Drosophila melanogaster: one gene and its partners. Changing the gene in region 2 together with the main gene of any one other region gives a genetic interaction. Each region holds a gene or a part of one and is shown on either strand. Other genes may lie near its edges.

Region 1 (7,631 bases), on a different chromosome or scaffold from region 2:
AACTAATATGCACAGATCGAAAGTATAAGGAACGCCAGATGCTCATGGTCATGCACTACAAACTGGTGGGTAGCTGCTTATCAATCCTGCATCACTGTGATTACCTGATTGATTTTATTTGCAGGAGCTGAAGAGACAATGCCAATCGCATGAGGATCTAAGGAACTGCACTTGCCTAATGCATCACATCTTACCCAAGACTCACATACCGCTCTATACGGTCAACTGTTCCCATTTGCAGTTCCATCGCTTGCCTGACTTTTTGCCGGACAACACCACCACTTTAGTTATAAACGATAATATGGTAAGAGCATATTTAATATGAGCATATTAAAGCTCAATGAAAAGTAACTTACTTGATTTGTCATCAGATCAGTGACATAAATCCGCTGCGGGACAATCCCCACTACCGCCACGTTGTGGATATGCAGCTGGAGAACAATCAGATATCCAATGTGGACAACTTGGAGGACACTTACTGGCTGCAGAACTTCCGCTTGCTCAATCTGCGTGGCAACAATCTGCGCAAGCTTCATGTCTACGCCCTGGACAACGCTCTGGATGACAACGAGAATGCCAATCTGCTATTGCTAAGTCGAAATCCCTGGCACTGCACCTGCAAGTTTGGCAGCAGAATGCGTGAGCTGTTGACGAAGTACAAGGACATCGTGCGTGATGCCTGGAATGTGAGCTGCACCTACCGCCTGGATGACGACCAGCTGCTGGCCAAGGTGCTGACCCTCAGTCGCCAGGAGATGTGCAATTTAAGCGTGGAGGGCGGCACTCAGATCCATCCCATCGATTGGCTAAACGGGGTGCTGGCCAGCCTCATATTTCTTATCCTGGGCAAGCTTGCCTACGATTACTACTACTACAAGTATTACGGTCGAGTTCCTTGGATTGTGATGAAAATGCCCTAGTCTCTAGATCTAATGTTAAAGGAAGTTCAACTCGAAAGTATTTCTCAACCACCGACGATGGCTTTCGGTTTATTCTTGAAAATCTACAAAAACAATACCGGTCTTTGTATCATATATGAATATTTATATATATATATATAAATAATGTTGTTTAGGTATTTATGTATGTATATTTAAGCTAGGTCAACGCAAAACTCTCAAAATAGTTGTTTTCCACACTATTGCACTGTTCAAATTGTTTTGTATGGTTAAAAACATTCGTTCTCACGTTCCTACATATTTGACGGTTTATTTTAAGCATTTATCCTGCATTTAAATTGGCACAAAGCGCTTAATCTTTGATAATGAGAAACAGCTAAGATAGGTTTATGTTTGCAACTGGACAGAACGGAATCTGTGTGAATTTTAGGTTAGTTACACATTATTCCATTTAAATGAATCTAATTTTGTATAATGTATATTTACAATTAAAAACCTTGATTTAAATTCTTTGGCTCTCGAAATCAGTGCAAAATGTCGCATCTTTTCGGTCAAAGCAAATGCAAAATGATTAAAATAATTGTATAGGATACAAGCTTATAAATTAAACAACAGTGCTGGACATTGTAAACAAAGCTTAAAACATTTTTGTACTTTACATCAATCAAGTGAAAATTCAAACAAGGCTTAATATTTCGCTGGCTGTAAGCGGCATATCTAAAATTCTTTTGGTTTCCTTCGTGAGTCCATTGAATGGCGGTAAAAAAGGTCGGCAATGTTTCTTATAAATTTGTTGTATAAAAGTCGAAGTAAAATTTAGATCGTTTAAAATTGAGTTCCCTTGGTTTGCATTGTATATGATATGGAATCATTATCTAACCACTATACAAAAGAAAAGACTCACGAAGGAATCAGCCAGAGATCGCAAATGAAATAACAGTGGATGGCATTAAGTTGGCTATTCTTCGGGGACCCAGACTATCTGGTGTCCCCGATTACATTATCTGTTTTTGGCTAAGCATGCGAGTATTTAAATATGTTTATAATATACGATCCATTGCACAGCCTAGAACAGCATGTAGGAATGATCACGTTCCAGTCGCGACTTGGCGCGGGATTGTATATTGCCAATCGGATCCGAGGGCGGTGGTATGCCATTGATCTGATGGGTAGGTTCCTTGTAGAAGAACTCGGTCCTTCCATTCTTATGGCCATAATAAACGGAGTCGTTGGATCTATAAATATAAATATTAATAAAACCAAAGAAAGAAGGTTTATGATTGTTGAACATACCTCAAGATCAAATCTGTAAGATGATGACCACTGGAATGTATCGAGTGCATGCTCTCGAGGATATTAAGCTCTAGGGGATTCCAAGGGCCATTCCGCTGCAGAACATCCCACTTGGAGTCCACGCACATGAAGCTATAGTTGCTCCCGTCGCGATTGTCGCCCTCCACATTTACATTTAAGGTTTGATTCAGTTGAGATTCCATGTGCGGGAACTTGGCCACACAAATGTCGAACTAATTGGAAGATATATTAACAATGTTTATAGACGAAAAAAATATAAATTCACTTACCATCTTCTGCACAACCTGCTGTTGTTGACAAGTACCCTCCTCCATGAGCAATAATAAGGTCATATTCTGCTGTCCGCATATATAGAGTTCAGTTCTTTGCAAGCCATCTGGTTGAATTGGACCCGGAGGTTGAGCAGGGGCTGTGGTCAAGGCAGCCAATGCATCCACTGCATCCTCGCACTTCAGTGAACTTCGCCGTGGGAAAACCTTACTGGTTGTCAGCGGAGTTTGTATCTCGATGGGCGTTGTTTCGCTTAGAGCCAGAACAGATAGTTTGGCCATCAGGGGTGTTAGTGGTACTCCACCAGCTCCACTGCGTCCGGACGCACGCTCTCCGAAAGTAGATTCTCCTGCTGATTTCAATGGCAGCGTCATGGATCGCTTGTCCAGCGGAGTTTTGGCTGCGGAAACGTTGAGATTCCTATCGGCAGACGATGCTTCCGCTGCTTGCTGTCTCATGTGCTCGTCGAGCTTTTGGATCTCGGCGTTGAACTCCTGGAACTCGGCTACCAGAGCGGCTAGCTCGGCATCCTCGTGCGCCTGCTCACTAGCAACACCCCACAATTTACGATACTGATCCAGAAATTGCTGAAACAAACTGCGCGAGATCTGCTGGCCGTTAGTGTTGAATACCGGATAGGTGGGATCGCTGATGGTCCGCGAAGTAATCTTATCATCGTCCTCTATGAAATCTGGCGAATCCGAAGAGACATCACCATTACCGCTTCCATTTCGATTCACATCGGTTTTGAGGCCATGCGTAAAATTATTCAGTTTCTTGGAGATGGCGCGAAGTGCATCCTGCAGGTCTGCAGATGATTTGCGTCGTGTGAGCTGTTTGTTTGGATTGCTAATGAAGTTTTGAAAGAATTTCTCCACATCCACTTTTAGAGAATTTCGACGCGAATGTGTCTTGCCATTGGAATTGTGAATATCCTCCTCTTTGCCCTCATCTTCGGGATTTGCGCAAATGGACATAACATTGGCCACCGGCAGTACCTTGTTCTCGGTCATTGGAGTATTGCAAACGCTGGTTCGTCCAATGAACTGCGGATAGGAATCGGTTTCGTCGAAATTTATTGATGCAATGCCAGACTCCGGTAGCTCTTTGCTCTGCATGCTTTTTATACGCAACGGCAGGTGGGTGGGTCGCATAGATTTGGGCCTGGCTGGTGGTAGCTGTTCAACTGCTCCCTGCTGCTCCGGGGCGTGCTCCTCCTCGGGTATATGGGTAAAAATGAGCGACTTGTCCCGCTTTATCTTACGCTTGGCATACTGAAACGGCATACCATTTTGGGTGAGCTGAGCTGTGTTCATCTGCAGGTTCTGGGCGCGCTGTGCCTCGCCAGCTAACTGGCGGTACTGCATATGCTCCAAATAAACCACCAGCATCTGAACGCCGTTGGGTATGTGGAACTCAGGATGGTTGGTCACTTGCTCGGCCGCAGTGCGGATGTGCAGAGGATCGGTGAGTACAAGATGCTTGGTCACCATATCGCTCAGTTGCGAGGCAACCACCCTAAAAGACAAGGTATTTGAATTTACAATTTGTTCAGACTTTAGCCGGATTAACTGACTTGTTGTGGTACAGAATCGCTCCGCCAAGTATTCCCTTTGTCTGCTGGCAACTTTGCAACGTTTGTATAGCCTCCAGGAATATATGACTGGCCGTCTGGAAGAGAATCTTGGTTATCTAGGTAATTCGGTTTGTTACTTTAACCACTCACCTTTGGCATTCGCAGCCTCGGCACATTTTGAAATGTATTTCCGTTGCGCTGCAGCATCGGCAGATATGTTTCAAAGATGTGGTACAGTTTCTCGCTGAGATTCCGGCGGTTCAGGGCGGGCGGTGCAGCATACTGGGCATACAATGTCTGGACGTCACGGTGGAAAAACTTGAGCAGGGAACTCAGCAGATCAGCACGATGTTCCAACAGTTGATCTCCAATATTTCGATCAGTGCCAATTGCCTGGAAAACAGAATACTCCATCGGATTAATAAAAGAAAAGTGAAATTATGTGATTCGATTTACCAGAATAAAACGACCGAATTCCTTCAGCACAAATTTTCCATTCTGCAGCGCCAGGATGCGGGGATTAAAGAAGCAATCCTTGAGGAAATACGACGTGCCCATAAGCTGACCACACAGAGCCACCTTCTGGGAGTCGGACACCCAGCTTGGATGGAAGTAGAGCACCGCCGATATGGGATCATCCGCCTCGTCTGTGAGACACTCTGTGTCGTAGACAAACACAATCATCGTCTCCCTGTAAATTTAATAAAGTTCAAGGGTTATTGTTATTGAGACTTTGAGACGGGGAAATATATTTTAGCTTAGTTTCTAATGTTAAGGAAAAGCTTTGGAGAAATTACGTTCAACTATTTTCCCTTGTAAAATGTGAGCTGAATCTTAAAACTTGTTCAAGAATTGATACAACAAGTGCTGTAGCAAAACCGGTATGCAAAAAAAACTTTACACAAATACAAATTGGATTTATGCAATCTCAATTTGTTTGACGTTGTTTAATGCAATTCATTGTAGATATTTGTGCACTGGAAACACAGTTTGAGTATGAAATGAGCAACCTTTCGGTGAGGATTGAGGTCTGCTGCTTCTGCTGCACCTTCTGCCATCGCTTGTGCTTGGTTTTGCGCCAATCCCGAAACATTGCTCCTGAAATCTAGTGGATTTCGGTGCTTCCAAGTCTAGCGCTGCATCGTGGCTCCTTATCACATTTAACGACCGACGATTCTGATAAGTCAACAAGCCAATAGCGCCGTACAATGCCAACTGTCTGATTTCGATGTGGCCCAGCTGCCTGATACGACCAACTGTGATACGAGAGCGTGATCAGAATTCCGCTCACGCCCAAGTGAACCAGCAGGTGAGAAGTGAGGTGAAAGCTTCCGAGTGTTTCCATCATTGCGGTTGAGCGGGTGGGTATACGAGCAACTATGCTCTCGTATAATGTATTCATCCATGTGGTGACCACTTCAATGACGAAGGTATCGATTCCAGTTTTAGAGTGTAACAAATTCGATTACCAATGCTATATTTTATAAAAAGCTCTCGGAGGCAAATGATTTTCAAATATCATTAATAAGATTTTATATATGTTTAACAACAGAGACCTTGTCTGTTTTATTGCGCGTAATACAATGTTTATTTAAACTATCATAACAACTCTATCCAGCAGCTGTTTTCAACACATTGGGTGGCAACTGTTGAATCTGGTTCACAGTATCCGATTGGCTAGATATGCTATACTTGGCCACATATCCATCGGGACCAGCTTTGTAGGTGACCAGCAGGTATTTCGAACCAGGAAAACGCTGGCTATAAGTACCCTTAACTTGAAGCACATCTGGCGCAATCTGTTCAACAATCTCATCCCGCGTTGAACCGTCGAGATCAATCCTACAATATGGAAGCCATTTGGTTGAGCTTACAGCATTATCTTAACTTCATTTTTTGTTTACCTCAGGGAATAATTATTCTCAGATGGCACTAGCACAACTCCATTATCGTTTATGGGCGGCACGAATTTGGTAACTGAAGTTGTGGGCGCCGAATTCACCAGACTTAGAAACAGAATCAAAAACACCTGTAGCAAATATTATACAACGATTGGCAGGCAAACTTATGAGAAAAACTCACTGAGCTTAACAATAGGTTAGCCATGATGATCTTTTGGCTTTTGGTTAGCGACTGATGTTTTTAGATAGCTGACAGCAAACAGCTAACAAATAAACAGCTAAACTTAAACCAAGTTCAAAACTGGAATCATTAATAAACACATTCAAAAATCGTTCTCCGCTTATAGTATAGCTATAAGATGTGATTTTTGAATACTGTCAACAGGGATTTACATAACATAACAATAAAACTTGCCACAGTGAATCATTGACCGAGTCACCTAATAAGTTGCTTTAATAGGGCTTAGCCAATTAACAATAATAAGTATAACAATTTGTTATAGTTAAGAAAGTCTAGCTAGTTTATTGATTTCTATAAACTAGTGAGTGATTATAAACTTACTTATTGTTACTTATAAATACAGAATTGGTTTAATATAAATTACGGCAAGTTGTGGTTTTAATGTTTTCTAAATATTCAGTCAAAATCCTATCCCGCTGCAGTTTTCAGAGCACCGGGACTGAGGAATAATGGTGTGTCAGGAGGCGGTGTTGGAGGACCCTTGCCGAAGCTGTATTTGGCAACATATCCATTCGGACCAGCCTCATAGGTGACAATAAGATTGGCATCCTGATCCTCGAAGGGCTGGTTAATCACACCTTTAACCTGCAGATGTCCGGCTTCATTCTGGCTCACGGATTCCTGGCGAATAGTGCCACCCGGATGTTCGATTCTACAGATTCAGAACTAACTAAGTAAAGGGAAGCTCTCTTCTGGACTTTGATTAGCTACCTGAGAAAGTATTCTTGATTGAGGGGCTCAAGTTGAAAGCCATTTGTGCGGATTTGCGGAACGATAGTTGGTGAAATTTGCGGTGCCGCGTTGACCGCAGTGAAGATGAAAATTGCCAACAGCTAAATATTATTATGATTTGAAAATGGTATGTTTAAACTTTGATTTGCATATGCGAAAAGACTACTCACCGCGAAAAAATCGCGAGACATGATGACCTGTCTGTGGTTGAACAAAAACTATCTGAATATCTGAACGCTTGGTCAGTTTTGAGCCCAAAACGAAGGCTGGTTGATTTAAGTAGCAAGCAAACGAGTTTTGATTTTTACGATGAAGATACAAAAAAATCACACATCTGCTTCGCGAGAAACACTTCAGTACACCTACTAATTCAAATAATTGCAAAATTCCCATCTTATAAGGCAATTGAAAAAGGGACACAATAAAATCGACTCATCTAGCAAAAGCATTCGGTAGCCTTCGCTGTGACAATTAACTTGGTTCAAATCAATCTCCACACGTCATGCCCAATGCAAAATCATTCTGTCATGATAAACTTGTGACTACATTAAACACCTGGCCTATGAAATTTTCTTGGGGAGTTCCCAAGTCAAATTTTAATTCTTTCTACGTGAGATTCTTACAGTTCTAAAAAGTCTACCCCGGTATATGACTAATAGGATTTTGACCTTTAAGACACGGTCCAATTGGGACTTGTA
Region 2 (5,891 bases):
ATGATCCCTACAAAAGACCTTTTCAAATTCTAGTTAAAATTCTTTCCAATACTTTCCAATTACCATCTAATTATCAATATATACACATAGTGAAATCAAAATGGGAGTTGGTTCTAATGGATGCCATTGTGGGTGCCCAGTAGCAGATAGTACAAACATAAAAATTCGCCATTTCAGCCTGTTGTAGAACTGAAATCGAGGCTAATGCCCAGTCCGTAGTGGACAAAGCCGGGCAAATTGTTTTCGTTTCTAATAATACTAATTAAGGTTCTGTAAGCGCTTCGATTTGCCATCGGCCAGCATGTGGATACGTCGATTCTCCATCCACAATGGACAACTGGGCGGAATCGATAGAAAAGACCAGGGCAGATAATTGTTAGCAAAAAAAAAGCGCAAATGGAAAATTTCTAAAGAGAAAATTCAAGCTAAAAAAAACAAAGAGGAATGGAATAAAAGCCCGGCCTGGATGGAAAAGGTTGAAAACTAGATGATGAAAAAAAAACCGAGCTACGTACAGAAATTGACTTCATTGCGAGGAATAACTAAATAATAATAACAACTCTTTGCCATCTATATGTTTGTTTTTTTTTGTACTGGCTTTTGGCTAGCTTTTTCCTCAGCAAGTCAATTCGCCACATTAACGGTTTGTCAGCGGCTCACTGAAATAGTCGACAATGGCTTGGAGTGCTCCACAAACAGCGAAAAATGCTGGTTGGGCCAAATGCTGGTTCGGCATTCCATGTTGGCTTATTTCTCTGGGTTGGGAAAACACGAACCAGCCGCCTGAATTGAATTGGAATTCACTGGAGAGCTCTGGCTACATATTGTGCAAATAATTTGGGCGTGGGAACCTCGCAGTCGACGTCGACTGCGCAGTGAGCTAAGCAAAACTATTGTCTATCCCCTAAAGACAGGTGACAAATGTTGGGAAAGTTGGCGGGGAAAAGAGATATTTCTGCACTGATATTGCCATTTAGTTTGTAAGCAGCAGGATTCAATTATTTGCCCATCTTATGGATATACAAAGGGGCAGAAGGGAAGAGGATATCAGTTGGCTTTAAGTTTAATCTTTATCATAGAATTCCCAAATATTTGCCAACATTCACTGCATCTTCACTTTCTTGAACTTTCCTAGGTAAATGTCAACTTACAATTAACTATTCAAATGAGCCAGAATTGGGCACGTGGAAAGTGATTGCTTATCATGACCCACAAAGGAACGGTGGCGGCCAAATGAAATTCTCCGCACGATGGAGTGTTTCTATTTTTCGGAGTGGGAAAAGCGTTCGGTCGCCCAAAGAAGCGCACCGCACAAGAAAGACAACGCAACTAATTAAATAAAACAATAACAGAATTATGTATGACACAACGAGTTTGTGTCGCCGCTGACGAAATGCAAAATGAAAAGCCAACGCCACAAAGTCGAATCAAAATAAAGGCCAAAAAAGTCTAAACCGTTGACTGAGACTGAGACAAAGTGGGCAATAAGCGAGGAGAAAAGCCAAAATAAAACAGAAGAGCTAAAGACAATGGGTCGGGTTTTTGAACCTGGTCGAGATGCGTAAGTTTGCTGGTCCGGATATCCTCGAAATGAGCGTTGGGGATTTTGGAGCTGCGTTTCGAATAGGTTTTATTAAAACCTTGCGGCAATACCTGTTGCATACATAATTTTGGCAAGCGGAGAGTGAAAGTTTCTCGAATGAATACCCTCCTCTTTTCACCAAAACGGCAGCTCTGACTTGGAGCAAAAAAAACAAATGATCGGCAATTTAACTTGAGACAAAGAGCATTTAGCATTCGCTATTGTTTCTGACCATTCCGGCCAGTGGCTTAATTAATAAATTAATTTGTACAATTACTTTAACGTGCCTGGCACGCATTACAAGAAAACGAAAGAGTCCAAAGCCGAGAAATGAAATGCGCCATTGGCTTTCGAGTGTTAAGTGTGGTCTTTGGGGGGCTTTGGAGGGTTTGGGGGCACATCTTCGGCCAGTTTGGGGGTTAAGCTCGTCTTCACTTGTGTGCAGTGAATGGCAAATTGAATAAGTGGATGGAAAACACATAACCGAAGTGTACGGGGAGCCAAGAAAAATATGAGAAATTGTTTCACGCGTCTGCTGCAGTTGTATTTGAAGTCTTTTTTTCTCTATTTCTACATATATATTTCTTTTTTTGTCCACTTTCACTTGGTCCAGCCAGCTTGGAGATACAAATTTCAGTGCGAGATTCATGCAGGACGACGGATTAGTTTCTCAGCTCAGAGAGCGTTGGAAAAAACTAGTTACAGTTTAAGGCTCCGGTTTTGCTTTTTTCTTCGTTTTTTTTTTTTTTCTTTAGTTTTTTGTTGGCCGATTAGACCGGCGATGACTAATGCGCTGGAAAATTGAAAATGCCCCGACACGCCAGCCTACAATGTTTTCGAATTTGCAGTCTTTATTTTTTTCCAGTTTTTATTTTGTCAAAGTCGAGTGTCTGCACGTCGCCAAATCCAAAATTAGCGTGCAAATCGATTGTGCAGAGGGTCTTTTAGGCCGAGTGATTCATGCAATTTCGAGATCAGCTGCGCTCGATCCGCCGCAGTTGCATCTGCGATCTGCGATTTGGGATCGGATTAAAAAGTGCAGTTAGAGAGCGAGCAGAATGGCAGAATAAGCGAAGAAATTGCAGTAATGGGAACTTGTCGACTGGGGGAATTCAATCCACGGAGACCTGAGAAAACAATTAGCACTCTGTGATTGAAGTTGGCCCGAAGCAAACAAAAAAAAAAAAAAAAAAAAAAAAAAAAGTGGTAATCGGTGAGGGGAGGGAAGTGTACAGTACAGTAACATGCTGCCAAGGCACTTTCATTCGAGACTTTCAAACAATCAAATATGCAGCCGCGACGCGATCGTCTTCATTAGTTGCACACGAAAAAATTACATGGTTTGGCGAAGAGCTTGAATTTGAATGATTTTAGAAAGGTGATCAGATCAATTAAAGGCCACCTTGTGCAAAAATCATTGGGCAACCAAAACAGCCCTTTATTAATTTAAAATTAATTAATTCGGCATTCGATATGGGGTCTTGTGAAAATCCTAATCAGATTTAAACTAATTGTAGCAGTCTAACTACATAATTAATTGAAAGCTAAGCCTGACTTTGACCAGTAAGCCCTAAAATCAACTTCAGTTTTGACCGTGCATGCCTTGAGCAATTTTGAATTAATCATGGACACACTCGAAACACAGATTCATACTAATGTCCGATACATGTGGCCAAAACCCATAATTAAGCGAACATCCCCAACATGGCAAATAAAATCAAACAACAAACACACAAAGGTCATTGCGCCACCAAATCTCGAGTATATACGTATGTTCAAGCCATGCTGATCTTTCAGCGCTTTTTGTTTCACTTTCTTCGCACTTTGATAATGTTTTGCATTAATCACTTCCTTGAGGCGAAGCCGAAAAATAGCTCCCGCCTGTATAATTAATTATTAAATTATTACAATAGCGATATGAACAATTCGCATTCGCGCGGTATTACATCACGATAGTTCGCCTTTTGTGCCTTTTCGCTGAACGGATCGGATTATCAAAAAAAGGCCACTTTGCATACCGTCATAATTTATTGTTATTATGTATTGCAAAAAGCCAATTGCAATCGATTCACTCATTGGCCAATTCGCACACACGCGATGATGAGCTGCGCATGCGTGGCAAGCGATTTTATTTTTATTTTTTCTTTTACTATTCTCTCTATTTACTATTCGATTTTTGAATCGAAACGCGACCGCGCGCCTTGCCTGCAAGTTTTCAACTGAAAAGCGATGCACGAAGTTGCCGCCGCGACTGAGTCACGATAAATAAAACCAAAAACACAAAATGAAACGAAAGAAAAAAAAACACAAAATCAACCTCCGAGTTTCAGTTTCAGAGAAAGAGAGCGCCGCTTGCGAAGCTCAGTCTCAGATTTTCTTCGTGTTTTTGTGAGCCGGCTTCTTCTCTTTATCGTGCATTTATTGCATGCGATAAGACCAGTCGCTCGCATGCGATCGCCCACCTGTTGCACATTTGGCCACCGACTGACGGTTCTCCTTTTCGCAGCGTCGCGCTATGGAAGTCAAATCGAAACATGTGTTGCCCAACTCATTAGGCCGATTTTGGCCATTCAAGTAGCTGCTGCGGTCTCGCTTTTGGCCTAGCTAAAAGTAACCCACTCTGCGGTCGCCTATATTTACACGGGAAAACTTAATTAAAAGAAATTTAGTTTATTTAATCGCATTATTAGCGATCCCAAGTAAAAACTAAAGAAAAATTGTAAGACTTACATATATAATTTATTATATTATATATATCAAATTGTACTTTCTACATAAGCCTAACATATTTATACCTTAAATTCATTAAAATCATTACGCACAGTGCACTTTGTGATATCGGAGATTCAAGAGGCAAAACGATCACAGCTTTGTAAAAACACACATCCAGCAACATTGGAGGCTTGTGACTCGGATCGATTTCCTTTCTGTTTCGTTTATTTGGTCTAATTGCCGCCGCTGGCCATGTTAATTAATTCCCCCATTATTGGTCGCACAAACCCCGTGCCCCCCGCCACACTCCTTTTCCCAACGACTTGTATGGCAAATAGTTTTTCTCTTGCATGTTTACTTTTCGTCTCCGTTTCCAGGCAATTTGTTGCCGCTCTCGAATCAGTTGTTTGCAAAAATGTAGACATCAAAATGTTTATTGTTTCTTTCGCATCCAGCGCTTGCAGTTCCAATTGCAGTTGCAGTTGCACAGTTCGTGATTTTCTCCGATTTTTCTCTTTTACATTTCTTGCATATTTGCGGAGCAATTAGCATCAAGTCGGAACCGTGCTCATGCACCAGCTCTCCCAGCGAATTTGCCTGGCGAACCCGAATGGCAAGTAGATCAAAAGGCGAGGGATTTGTGCTAAAAATACCCGCAAAAGCAACATAAACAAACAAACAGATGGCAAGGAAAAAATAACCTTTAATATGCGAAGAAAATGTGTCCGCTGGGCAACAAAACGAGGAAAGTAATAATTTCAAGAATGCGAAACATATGAATGTATCTACATATATCAACGGTTCCAGATAAACATAAAGTACACATTTCTGCACCGCGTTCCCAGATAAACGTAAATGCATATTCCAGCTGTTTGATGATAAGATTAAATGGTCGATAGCCTTTTTTTAATACGATAAAGTCAACGTAAACAAATTGTTGAACGGTGCATGGATTTAGGCTTTCTTCAGGGAAATGTATTTTTTCGTACGGTTTAAATTGGATCAGATGTTTTGGCAGTTGTTCAATAAGTCAAAATTATATGTATATTAGACAGCCACAATGGAATGCATATAGAAAGGCATTCACGTAATTATTTTAGACATCGCTAAATATGACTAATATATAATTTGAACTGAATATATATCTCTATCTCTATCACCTGCCCAGCCCTAGAAGTAATGGCGTATGACCAATCGGAATAAATAAAATTGCAAATTCCAATTAGCATTCCAATCAGTCCCGAGTACAGTGGTCATGCAACGGCGTAATTAGCGCAAGTGAAAATGGGCAGAGATAGATAGTCGTAATAGGCGCAATAAAGGGAATATTGAACAGTGGGCGCCAAAAGTTAGTACATCATCATTCCAATGCGAAAAGTTCACGCAACACTGACCTCACACAGCCAAACTTGCTCACTCACACCGATACAGTTGGAGTATAACGCCCACGCATGTTGCAATACACAAACAAACGGGATACATAGAACCCCGGAGAGAGAGAGAGAGAGAGAGAGAGAGAGGGAGAAGGGGGGGATGACAGTGGGTAGTGGGGGGAGCTTTGTGGCGCCTAGGTGTGACGTCAGCGACCGAAAATTTT
Region 3 (5,395 bases), on a different chromosome or scaffold from region 2:
AAGCTGTGACTTTCGCTGGACCGAAGAGACTTTTTACGCATATTTTTGCACATTTTCACGCAACCGTGTCTCCCGCCAGCAGCTATGTATTTTTTAGTTCTATCCGCCATTGAGGAGGAAAACCCCTTATTGCTGCGCTGCGCTGACACTGATCTTCCAATTTCGAGAACCGTCTGTCCGGCCACGCCTTCTGAGCCCGTGTAAAATAATGTATGTAATCGTAGTTCCTTCTACGCGCACGTCCTCCCCCCCTCTAAATAAACCTAACTTATTCATAATACCTAGCCTAAGTTGTAGATACCTATGCGACGATCCGAGAACTTAATTTAAAAACTTCGACTTGAATTCTTGTGCTGCTGCCCCTAACTACACTCGCAAAGGTGTATGAGTGAGCTGTTGGTGGTCGCCTCATTGTATGTATATAGCTGGTAACACAAGACGAAACGATCTATATAAATCTACGAGTATATTCTGTAATAACTATGATAAAACGCGACTATGCAAAGATTAAAAGTAATTGTCTAAGTAAGCACACAATCGTTTGCGTCACACACCTCAAGGTATTTAATTACATATTTTTAATCAAACGGTCTCCGATTTTCATAAATAAATGCAAACGTATCTTAAAGGTAGCCATGAACCAAACTCGCCATGTTTTTCTTTAGTCCTTATCTAACTAGCTTATGATATGATATGTCGTGACTAAAAGTAGAATATGGTATACATCGATGGAGTGATGTGTAGTAGTTTATTTTATATATCTTATCTTTTGCGATAATATGATGTTTTCCCCCAATGAAACCACTTCTAGTTGTAATTCAATATTTATTAGTTTCTTTGTATAAAATTTCTCTTGCCTTCCAAATTTCAGTTAAAAAATATTAAGTAAAGAAGAAAGGTAATGTGCATTTCCTCAGATAATACAATCACAAAGCGATTTCAGTTAATATTTTGCTTCGAGCGCCTTACTGTTAGATTACACACAAACACAAAGTTACAATTAATAAACACAATATTTATTCGCGGAAGGATTAAGAACGAAACGCAAGTGCCTCGACTTCGGTGCAAATATGCATTATTACAAATAAGATACAAATACTTATGGATACTGTCTTGAGGGCGGCGAAGTTGGCATTTTCGGCTGAACTCTGGATGAAGCGCGACTCCAAACGGCAACAATGTGGGAGGACAGTTGAAACGGGCGGGCAAAATTTACATTAATGTGCTTCTCGTGGTGTAACAATTTTCTCATGTAACAAATTTACTGCCTAGAAATGCGTATTTAATATTTTTTAGTCAGCTCTTTAGTCCAGTCCAAGCGGAGTCCTCCACGGAGCTGCTCAACACAATTGGGCGAGTAACAGCGAATTGGGTGGGTGCAGCCGAAATATTATGAAAATTATTTATATTTATGACAATATTTAGTGGTGACAACAGTGCCTTGCAATTCGAATATTGCTGCGCTCTTCTTGGGAGCAGCCAGCTTGTGGGACGCCCCTGGACTGGATTGGTTTATGTGGAAATTCAGCCTTCAGCCGCTCAGTACTCAGTTCGATTCGGGCTTGACATTGCGTCGCAGGATTGCCGCTGCGAGGTCCTGCTTCATGGCCGCCTGCTGGCGCTGATCGGCCAGTGATTGTGTGCTCCTTAGTCCGTTCACGATGTCCTTGGTCTTGCCAAAGTAGATCTCGTTCAGGGTGTTCCTGATCTTGTTCTCCATCTCCTCGACCATCTTGCCAATGTTGGCGATGTGCGGCGACGACTCGCTGACGTTGGCGTCCTGCTCCTGCTGCCGGGTGAGGGATCCGCCCAGATTCATGGTTCCCGAACCCTGTTTGTTGGTCTGCAGCCAGAGCATTGCCGTGGAGGTGAGCTTGTAGTGGGCCGTCCTGCCGGTGGTCTTCTCCTGTACCTCGACCACATGGATGGAGTCCCAGCAGCCGCGGATCATCTTGCTGCCATCTCCCGCCTTTTTGATCAGTATAACGGCGGCAAACCCGTGATCCAGATCCCATAGGTAGACGGAGGAGACGCCTCCCTCGTAGTACATCTCCCTGTACTGATCGAAGGCATAGTTCGCCTCGATTTCCAGTTTGCGCAGTCGTTCCGAGGGCATTTGGCCATCCTCCAGCGGCGGATAGTAGGAGTTCGACCAGGGCGATCTGTAGGAGTCCCCATCCCGGTTATAGTCGCACAGCAGATAGTCCTTGCCGTGCTCCTTGTCCTTGGCGATCTTCAGCGGCTGGTCCACGGAGGAGAGCAAGTCCTCGCAGAGATCCGGTGCCAAGTCTATCAGATCAATAAGGTTCTTCTCGATCTGCTGGGGCGGCAGCCTCCGCATCAGATCCAAAGCACAGTCCATCTGCATTTCCGACTGAGAAGAGAGGAGAAGAGACACCAGTGAAATTGAATTTGAGTCACTGCACCACCGCCGATAAGAGAGCCCAAAAAATCCCTCCGCTTTCCACTGCCACCCGGCAAACCAGGGATTACCATATATGGGCATTATTTGAGGCCACAGGCCGCCGCCCCTCTGGAGGTTTTCTCGGTGGATTAGGTGATTGCCAAGAATATTTGGCTTGCAGAATGGGCGGTTCCGACCAAAAACACCGTTTGTTGGCCTGCTTTTTTTTCTTGTTACTATTGTAGTATTACTCACCATTTTGGTACTTTCTGCTTTCCCTTGTTTCGATAGTTTTACACTGTTTATGTTAGGGGCCTGCGTTCGCTGAGCAGGGCCGATCTTAAACTCTAGCTAGGATTTCGGGCTTATATTGCAAGTGATTGCACTAAATTGACTCTTTTTCCTTATTATTAGGATTTTTTATTTTTGCTATGGTGTGCTAGAGCTGGAACACAGCCCGATTATTATGCGATATCGTTCATTTTGGTGGAGCATCGATTGCTCGCTCGATTTGGTATATCGATTTCTTACCCGCTAACTATCTAGCGGAAATATTTGAAAATTAACATAACGAATGGCAGTTACTTACTTACAAAAGGCAATAATTTGCAGTACACTTTATAAAAATAAACTCTGGCACTCAATCCGCCCGAAATAAAACCATGGTCTTACTTTTATTATATTTTAGCAACAAGTTTATTGAATTTAGTTTTCGTTCATATACTTTTATGCTTAATTCCATTCTGGTTGCCCATTTCCTCTCCGTGTTTTGTGAGTTTCTGTTACAATGCGTTTGGTTTGTGTGTGACTGTGGGTTTAGCTTACTCGTAGTTTTTAATATGTTACACAAAAATGTATGGCATAATCGTAAATTTTTATCCGAGTTCGTGTTTAAAATATATTTAAGCTGCTTCGCTTTCGCACTCTTCAGACATACATACATACTTATTTAGAAATCATATGCGTGCTCCGAAAACGTATCCTTCTGAATCGATCCTTGGATTTCTTGATTTTTACATTAATTTTAGCCAAATACGTAGCGTGTGGGATTTTGCCTCGTTAGTAGTAGTAGGTTCAATAAACTTAATTAACCGCTTTGGGCTTAGACTCGCGCTTCAAGTGCGCTCTTTAGGTGTATACTTCGACCATATACGATAAATGTAAAATCTCAGACTTTAATTTTTAACTAAGGTGCACTACATACAGAAATCGTTCAGAGAAATGTGAACTAAATCGAGGGATTTTTTTTCGCAGCTCTGGATTTTTAGCCAGGATAAAAACTGTTACAGGTGACTTGTAAAATTAGGGCAGGTTTCACTAATCTCGAATAACTTAGATAATTATAATTTGTATTTCTTAGTCGTTCTTTTGAAGTTTAATATTTCGGCTAATTAATATTGATTTATTTACTTATGCTCTGTCGCATGCTAGACACTGTGCCAATATTCGAAATCAAAAGCGGTTTCAGATTCAATAATAGTACATAACTCCATTTTCAATCGTATTTCTCGTTTCATCGTTTTTCTTTCGCTCAATAATTATGCAACACTTGCTTATCAACGCTTCTTCGACAATCAAATGTAATCACAGTTTTATGTTTTCCTTCTTTATATAAACTCATTTTCATTTAGCTATTTATTTCACTATTTTCGCATTTCGCGTCGAGTATGTGTGTGTGTGTGTTTCTGTGAGTGTGTTTGTTGTGGCTTGTTCTTCTTGACTTGTGTGGGTGGTAAAACTAAAAATTCTTAGGGCTGGTTTACTACACGCCTAGTCCTCATGTGCTTCAAAAACTCACCTAACCTTCTCTCAATCCTCAATCTTCAATCATCGATCCTCGATCTTCAACCTTTCGGATCCCATGCTTATGAACATCTCAACTCACTGATCCTTGCCATGATCGCATATTAGATTATTAATACTATTACGTATTTAGAAAACTTTAAGAATATTGCACAACTTGTGAAAATGCTGATTCTGACTTCTGACCGACTGCCCGCTCGATTCGTTATAAGTTTTTAAAAATATTTCATTTAATATTTAATACCTGAGTTGTTCATAATCGTTTCGCATGATTATTACATCCGTTTTGCGGTTGCTTTCATAATTTTTTTTTTTTTTATCGTAATACATATCGAAAAAGTTTCTGTTTTTCTTCTCATTATTTATTTTTTTTTTTTGTTTGTATTAAATGCATGTATACATCGTCGTGAGTCTTGATAATGCCCTGAGTTTGCTCCAAACGGATTTGCGTTTTTTTAAAACTATTTTTTTTTTTGTTTTTCGTTTAACCTTATGCACGTAAAGTACTTCTCATTCCGAAATTCCCTCGCAAGTGGACCGTTGTCGTCTTTTTTGAATTCAAGTGGTTAAAATTTCGTTTGGGTAATTCGAAAACTTTTCAGTTCAGAACAAAGTAAATCGAATAGTTCATGTGTAACTCAAGTTCTGTTGCATTCATTCTGGTTTCAAAAATAATTGGTCCAAATAAAGGAAATCAAAGGGGCGTAATCTGTGTGGAAACTTAACTTCAATCCTAAAAAGTCACACCAACTGTTCGTTTTTTTTTTTGACCGACAGCCTTGCTTAAAATTTTAACTTTATATTTATGCCGAAAAATTTGTACGATTTCCTCTTTATCGTTACCTCGCCTCTATATATATTTAATTAATTTTAATTTATCTGCTAAATTTCGTTTGTTTTTCCTGAAATTTTGTACTCGTCATTGTTCCAAAAGTTTTTGTAGTTTTCAAGTGTGACTTATACGCAATACGAACGCAATTTGAATGGGAAAACCAAAGCGTGAGTTCAAATAAAACAATCAAAATACACACATTAAATATAATTTGTACTTCCTTCGATCCATCGTGTTAGACAAATTTACAACAACTTGATTTACACACTGAGGGGCGCAGGGGGAGACGTGGGGGGAATGCTCTTCTATATATGGAGTATACACCATATGCCATATATACCATGGCGTACATACAA
Region 4 (5,935 bases), on a different chromosome or scaffold from region 2:
TTATATTATTTTTGATCAATTGACACCATGTAAAAAATTCTTGGTTTGCACTGCCTTAGCATGATAATTCGAATAGAAATTGTAATAGCAGAATCTATGAGCATAATATCACATAATAAATTTCATAAATGACTTTGTATTGGATTAATTGAAATTCGAGTATTAAGTTGGCCTCGTGTGAAAAATGAGAGAAAGACAACTATTTTAAGGTGCTTATGTCAAAAAGTCAAAAAAAGTCAAGAAGTCAATTAAAAAAAAAACTGGTTGTATTTTTATATTTATTTTATATATATATATATAAGAAATATATATATATTTATTTTAAACAATGTATGCTTATATAATCAGTTTGAAAAAAATTTTTTAAAAGTGTTTTATTTATTTGGAAAATGTATGCTTTAAATAATTTGTAAATAATTTTTTCACCTTTGTAAATAAGATCTGATTTAATATAAAAAGGTCATTATTTCGGCCAGACCAAAAGTGTCCGTTTTACGAATCGAAAAAATTTTACGATTTTGAAAAACGAAGCATCGATTTTTCTATTTCAAATGGAAATTGTAAAATCCTTACGAATTCGATTAACGGAGCATGCCCGATTATTAATTAGAAGCATGAATAAAAATATGAAACGATAATAAATTAGTTAAAAGGAAATTAAATTTTATATATAATTTTTTAGTAGATAATTTTGCAACGAAATTGACAAACTCTAAAAATGTACCTTCGATTCTTACATCAAAATTGATTTTGATAAATGTATGGCCATTACTTATCTTTTTATTCTAATGTCTTTGGTATGACGTCTGAGATCTCGGGAACTATTAAAGCTAGATAGTTGATACTAAGCATGCAGATTCTGGCGAAGACTTCCCTGTGCAAGATTATTCGTAAAACCCTTACTTTGAAAACTTGATTGGATTTCTTTATTTTATTTTGGTCTTACTAATTTCTAAGTCCAAAAATAAACATAAGTTATTGCCATCCGATTTTAAATTCGTATCATAGTATTATAAATAATTATTTAAGGAAGGCACTTCACAATCCGGGTAATTCTAACCTTCTTCCAACTTACCCAATGAGGAACTTTAACGAACGATCCATATGTAATTAGCGCAGTCGCACCAGAATTGATTTAATTAACGATGCCTTGTATTGGCAGGACACGAAAATGAAGCTCCTAAGATATATGTATGCACACGTATCCTCATGCATTGTAAATTTCACTAAATATGCCCTTCACTTTACAAGTTCCTATACTTTTTAAAACTCAAGTTTTGCATTGCCTGAACTGACAATTATTCAAGTATAGCTTAGAATAGAATAATACATAATAAATTTAAAAAATAGAGAATACTATAGTCGAGTTACCCGACTATCAGATACTCGTTACTTAGCTAGTGTGAATGCGAACGCGAAATTTCATAATTTTTCTGGAATATCGATAGATATTGGGGAACAAAATGAGAAAAAAATTTAAAAATTGTTCCAAAGTGTGGGCGTGACCGGTTAGGGCGCTAGAGTGGGCTTGGCGAAAAGTTTTTGGCAAGTAGATAGAAATTTACAAGACTAATAAAACTATAAAAAAATCGAAAATGGTTCAAAAATGTTGGCGTGGCAGTTTGGGAGTTTAAGGTCGTTAGCGTGGGCGTGGCAAAATTTTTTTTTTTGCAAATCGATAGAAATTTACAAGACTAATAGAAATGTTAAAAAATATGAAGAAAATTTTCCAAAGTGTGGGCTTTTTAGTTTTGTGCGGTGTGTTGGCGGTTGTCTCAAGAATCTGTATTCTAAATTTCAACCTTTACTTCCATTAGCTTTAATAATTCCTGAGATCTCGACGTTCATACGGACAGACGGACATGGCTAGATCGACTCGGAGGTTAATCGAAGCTAATGCACTAATGCTTACAGCCTTATATACCAGCAGCGGTGAACTTTTCGTTTTCGCTTTCGCTTGTGCGCCGGTGCTTTCGATGTTGCTTGGCTCTTTTCGTTTAGCGCACTTATGTAGATTAGCGGAACGCTAAGTGACGCACTACCCTGTATTCGTCAGCTATATTCTCTTCGGCGTCATTTTGCACCTTTTTCACATTTTACAGTTTTGTGCTGTTTGTGGGCGTTAGAGTGGGCGTGGGTCAACAAACTTGGGCTGCGTCTGTGTCTCTAGAATCTGTATGCTGAATCTCAACCTTCTAGCTTTTATAGTTCCTGAGATCTCGACGTTCATACGGACAGATCTTGATCAAGAATATATATACTTTATATAGTCGGAAACGATTCCTTCTGCCTGTTACATACATACCTTTCAACGAATCTAGTATACCCTTTTACTCTACGAGTAAAGGGTAAAATGACTGTTGGATTAATTGTTATTAGAGTATTCAGCTTGCGACTTGTGAAAAGTTTTAGAAGACAATGATTCTTAGGTGCCTATTTCCGCACGTCGTGCCTCAAAAAATCAATTTTGCAATAAACAGGTTACATATTTTTAAAATTTTTGGTAATAAATAGTGATGAACTATAGTTGATGTTTCGTTTGTGAAATGAGTCAAAAAACCGCTAAACGGATATGAAGAATATAAAATATGAAATGATATGAATATGAATGAAATGAATATATTATAATATAAAATATAATATATAATGTAATGTAATGTCATTAGCATTGGGAATAATTGCTGTAGTTGTCCTATCATAGTTGTACAACAATAGCGCATAAAATAGTTCAGGAGAAAATGGGATGATTGAGAACGAATCACTTGTTCTCTGACAAATTTGTCTTCTGCCTCAAACCATCGCGGATAGCATACAAATTTCCCCCGAACAAGGAATCCTTTACGACAAACAAGGGGAGGGGGCTTTAATAAAAACTCAAATTTTCATTGGATGGTAAAAGTGATGGTAAAATAATAGTATGTATACATAATATACATAATAATATATGTGTTTATAATATACACAATTTTATTAAATATTCTTTAAACGGAAGGCATGGATGGATAGACAAAAAATTATATTGTGATATTTTTTCAAATAAATCATGGGAAAATTATTGTAATTCTTTCTGAATTATGAGCGAAACTGTAAGCCACTTTAATACCTAGCCACTCCCTTACAGCTATGTACTCATAGGAGACAGGTATATAAATTTGTACATTGAGAAGCCCTGATAACAATGAAAATATTATTGTTAAAGCATTTTTGCATGCGTATCATTTTATATGTCATGTATACACACATAAGTTCCTTCCTTTTTTTCATACAGTGATTGATTAGCTCGAATTAAATTATCGATTTTTCTTGTTTTATTATGTTACACAAACTATCACTAAAAAAATTAAATTAATTTTTTTTCATTTGATTTAATTTGATTTAATTTCATTCCTTATTTAATTTGATTTGATGAAAACAAGAATTCGTGTAATTTAATTAACACTCTCTTTGCCCTTTTTATATGCGAATTCCAACATATGTATGTTTAAATTAATACCACATACCCGATTAGGCTGTGTTTGAGAGATCGCGCTTCCATAGATGTCCATATGTAAAACTACATATTCACAAAAAATTGAAATCCGATTTTCCAGATATTAAAGCATTTAGTACAACATCATACACAAAAAAGGAAATTCTGTAATGCTTGTGACAAAAGAACTAGTTCATTATTAAGTGGTTCGATAATGTAAGCGCAATCGAATACTTTATGTGAAAAAATATCCTAATTACAATCGGTTATGCTCGGGTAATCGTAATTTGTTTTCGATTTCGATTTTGGCAAAATCTTTCGATTTCGTTTTGGGTGCTCTGGTTTTCGCAAAATGATTGCTATTGGGAATGTTTTGTTTCTTTCTGCTGACTTATTTTGTTTGTCTAAAGCAAATAACGTGAAAAAGGCCTTTTATATTTGCAATTGCTTGTTTTGAAGCCAGGAGAAGCAGAAATGCATTCAACAGTAAATAGACGTTTAAGCTGTTTTCCAGACAAGTAGAGTTTTAATTCTGATTTACGCAATTACTTTTCACAGCACTTTATCCAATTAAGTAACTAACTGAAATACCACTATTTACGAATAACACTTTTGGTCGTCTTTTAAATTAATTAATATTTTATATAAAAATTATTTATTTATTTTTTATAAAATAACTCAGTAGCAGAATGATCTTGTGCTGATGTGGAATAAACATCAATAGACCACTAAGTTAACTATGTTATTCCCTTAGTAAAAGATCTGTTTTGTTATAAAATAATACTAATACTTATTACTTTACCTAATTTTATGTATATTATGTATAATAATTAAATTTCTTTTCATCTGATTTCCAAAAACCTTAGTCCTGTTAACCCTAAGGAGTATTTGTATAACAAAGAAAAATATTTATTTAAACAATTTATAATTATATGTAATTTATTTAGTTGTGTCAAAAACATTAGAATAACAAGATGCGTAACGGCCTTACATTGGTTATGCAATATTCCAGCGACTTGTTTGGTGACGGCTGTAGAGCGTACAAATCTAGGAATGGTATGCGCCCGCTTGTGTGAGTAACAACAATAACTAAAAGTGTGTATGCTGTGTGCTATTTTTAGACGAAATCAATCTATACCTAAGAAACGAATTCGTATGCTTAGAGCCAATTTTCTTTTTATATGATCTAATCTAATATTATTTAAAAATGTATGCCCTGACAATTATTTTAATATTTTTATTTAATATTTGATAAATTAGCCGCTAAAATAAGGTTTCATTAACATATTTATATTTATGTTTGTAATTACTTATACATATGTAAGAATCGGTACACCATTACAATTCGAGCCGATTTGAAATTTTGTAATGTTAAACACTAATCCATGTTCACTTTTTGATATTGTCATCGTGGAAATTGGTGATTGGCAAAATGAGTTCGTCAATACATAGACAAATAGGATAATGATAGTTACAGTGCGTAGGCTGTGCAGATGAAAAGTGTGTTAGTACATTCGGACTTATGGAAAGTCACATGGGGTCGACTCGTCAAAGAAGAAAACGATAGTCCCGAGAAAAAGGCTTTATTTGACGAAAAAGACAAAAAAGCCATTGACAGTATAATATTGTGTATACATAGCAAGTCAACCACATAAAGCATTGTGAAACCGCTAAAGAAGAATGTCAAAAATTGCGTGAAATACATACACCTACGGGACCGGCGCGTAGTATTTGCTTCGTGTTACAAAATTTAAATGTGTGAAACGGGCACAGTGGGGGCACATATGAACAAATTTTATGACATTGTGCAAAAATTAAAAGAAGTGGGTTTTCTAGTTCAAGAAGAAATCCTAAGTGTTTTATTATTGTCAAGTTTGCATCAATCGTTTGAAGGCTTCGTGATTGCTCCAGAAACACGAGATGAGTTTCCATTACTAAGAATTCTAAAAATTAAATTGCAAGAAGGACAATGGCGAAAAGTAACAGATCAAGTAGAAAAATGTGAGCAAACGGTTATTGGAATTCGGTCCGCGAACGAGAATGAGAAGATCGATAATAAAAGAAACGGACAAAAAGAACACAAGCAAGTAAAAAACGGTAAAATAGTAATAGTAATAGTAAAAGAATAGTTACATACTGGAATTGTGGAGGTAGTGGTCACAAAGCTGCGAAGTGCAAAGCGAAGAATAAAATCGCAAGAGAGTTAGAAAGCAAATCCGAAATCATATTCGGCATTCTGCTCTGTCGCTCAGCTAGACAATTCGCCGAAAAATATGTGGTGTTTGGGCTCGGGTGCTACTGCTCATTTGTGCACGAAGAGATCATTATTTAAAAATTTAAGAGAATATAAAGAGCGCATTCTCTTGGCTGGAAACAATTACATTGAAGCGGATGGTCGCGGAACAGTTATTTTAAAGTGGAAAAATTCTACTATATAACTGATTAGGCCACACAGCACGAATCATT

Evidence for each region.
Region 1: of Csk (region 2) and HPS4, changing one enhances a phenotype caused by changing the other (phenotypic enhancement), as found in Drosophila melanogaster (one study listed by BioGRID).
Region 3: of Csk (region 2) and cpb, changing one enhances a phenotype caused by changing the other (phenotypic enhancement), as found in Drosophila melanogaster (one study listed by BioGRID).
Region 4: of Csk (region 2) and p120ctn, changing one suppresses a phenotype caused by changing the other (phenotypic suppression), as found in Drosophila melanogaster (one study listed by BioGRID).

The regions. Positions count from the first base shown.
Region 1 is NT_033778.4:17,684,377-17,692,007, reverse strand, and holds HPS4 (Hermansky-Pudlak syndrome 4), read right to left. Parts: upstream 5,318-7,631; 5' UTR 5,153-5,317; coding exon 5,070-5,152; intron 4,751-5,069; coding exon 4,516-4,750; intron 4,453-4,515; coding exon 4,210-4,452; intron 4,155-4,209; coding exon 4,060-4,154; intron 4,002-4,059; coding exon 2,483-4,001; intron 2,426-2,482; coding exon 2,193-2,425; intron 2,135-2,192; coding exon 1,966-2,134; 3' UTR 1,186-1,965; downstream 1-1,185. Other genes in the region: swi2, read left to right, coding at 1-65, 125-304, 372-920; CG42562 (uncharacterized protein), read right to left, coding at 5,670-5,901, 5,964-6,088, 6,142-6,165; CG42561 (uncharacterized protein), read right to left, coding at 6,610-6,853, 6,913-7,034, 7,104-7,124.
Region 2 is NT_033777.3:11,643,188-11,649,078, forward strand, and holds the start of Csk (C-terminal Src kinase), read right to left. Parts: upstream 3,790-5,891; 5' UTR 3,659-3,789; coding exon of another isoform or gene 3,601-3,658; 5' UTR 3,529-3,600; intron 19-3,528; 5' UTR 1-18.
Region 3 is NT_033779.5:1,702,379-1,707,773, reverse strand, and holds cpb (capping protein beta), read right to left. Parts: upstream 2,873-5,395; 5' UTR 2,663-2,872; coding exon 2,660-2,662; intron 2,644-2,659; exon of another isoform or gene 2,497-2,643; coding exon of another isoform or gene 2,494-2,496; intron 2,375-2,493; coding exon 1,547-2,374; 3' UTR 997-1,546; downstream 1-996. Other genes in the region: CG17660 (uncharacterized protein), read left to right, coding at 1-2. UniProt on the Drosophila melanogaster protein: F-actin-capping proteins bind in a Ca(2+)-independent manner to the fast growing ends of actin filaments (barbed end) thereby blocking the exchange of subunits at these ends.
Region 4 is NT_033778.4:4,593,028-4,598,962, reverse strand, and holds the start of p120ctn (p120 catenin), read right to left. Parts: upstream 3,676-5,935; 5' UTR 3,536-3,675; coding exon 3,501-3,535; intron 1-3,500.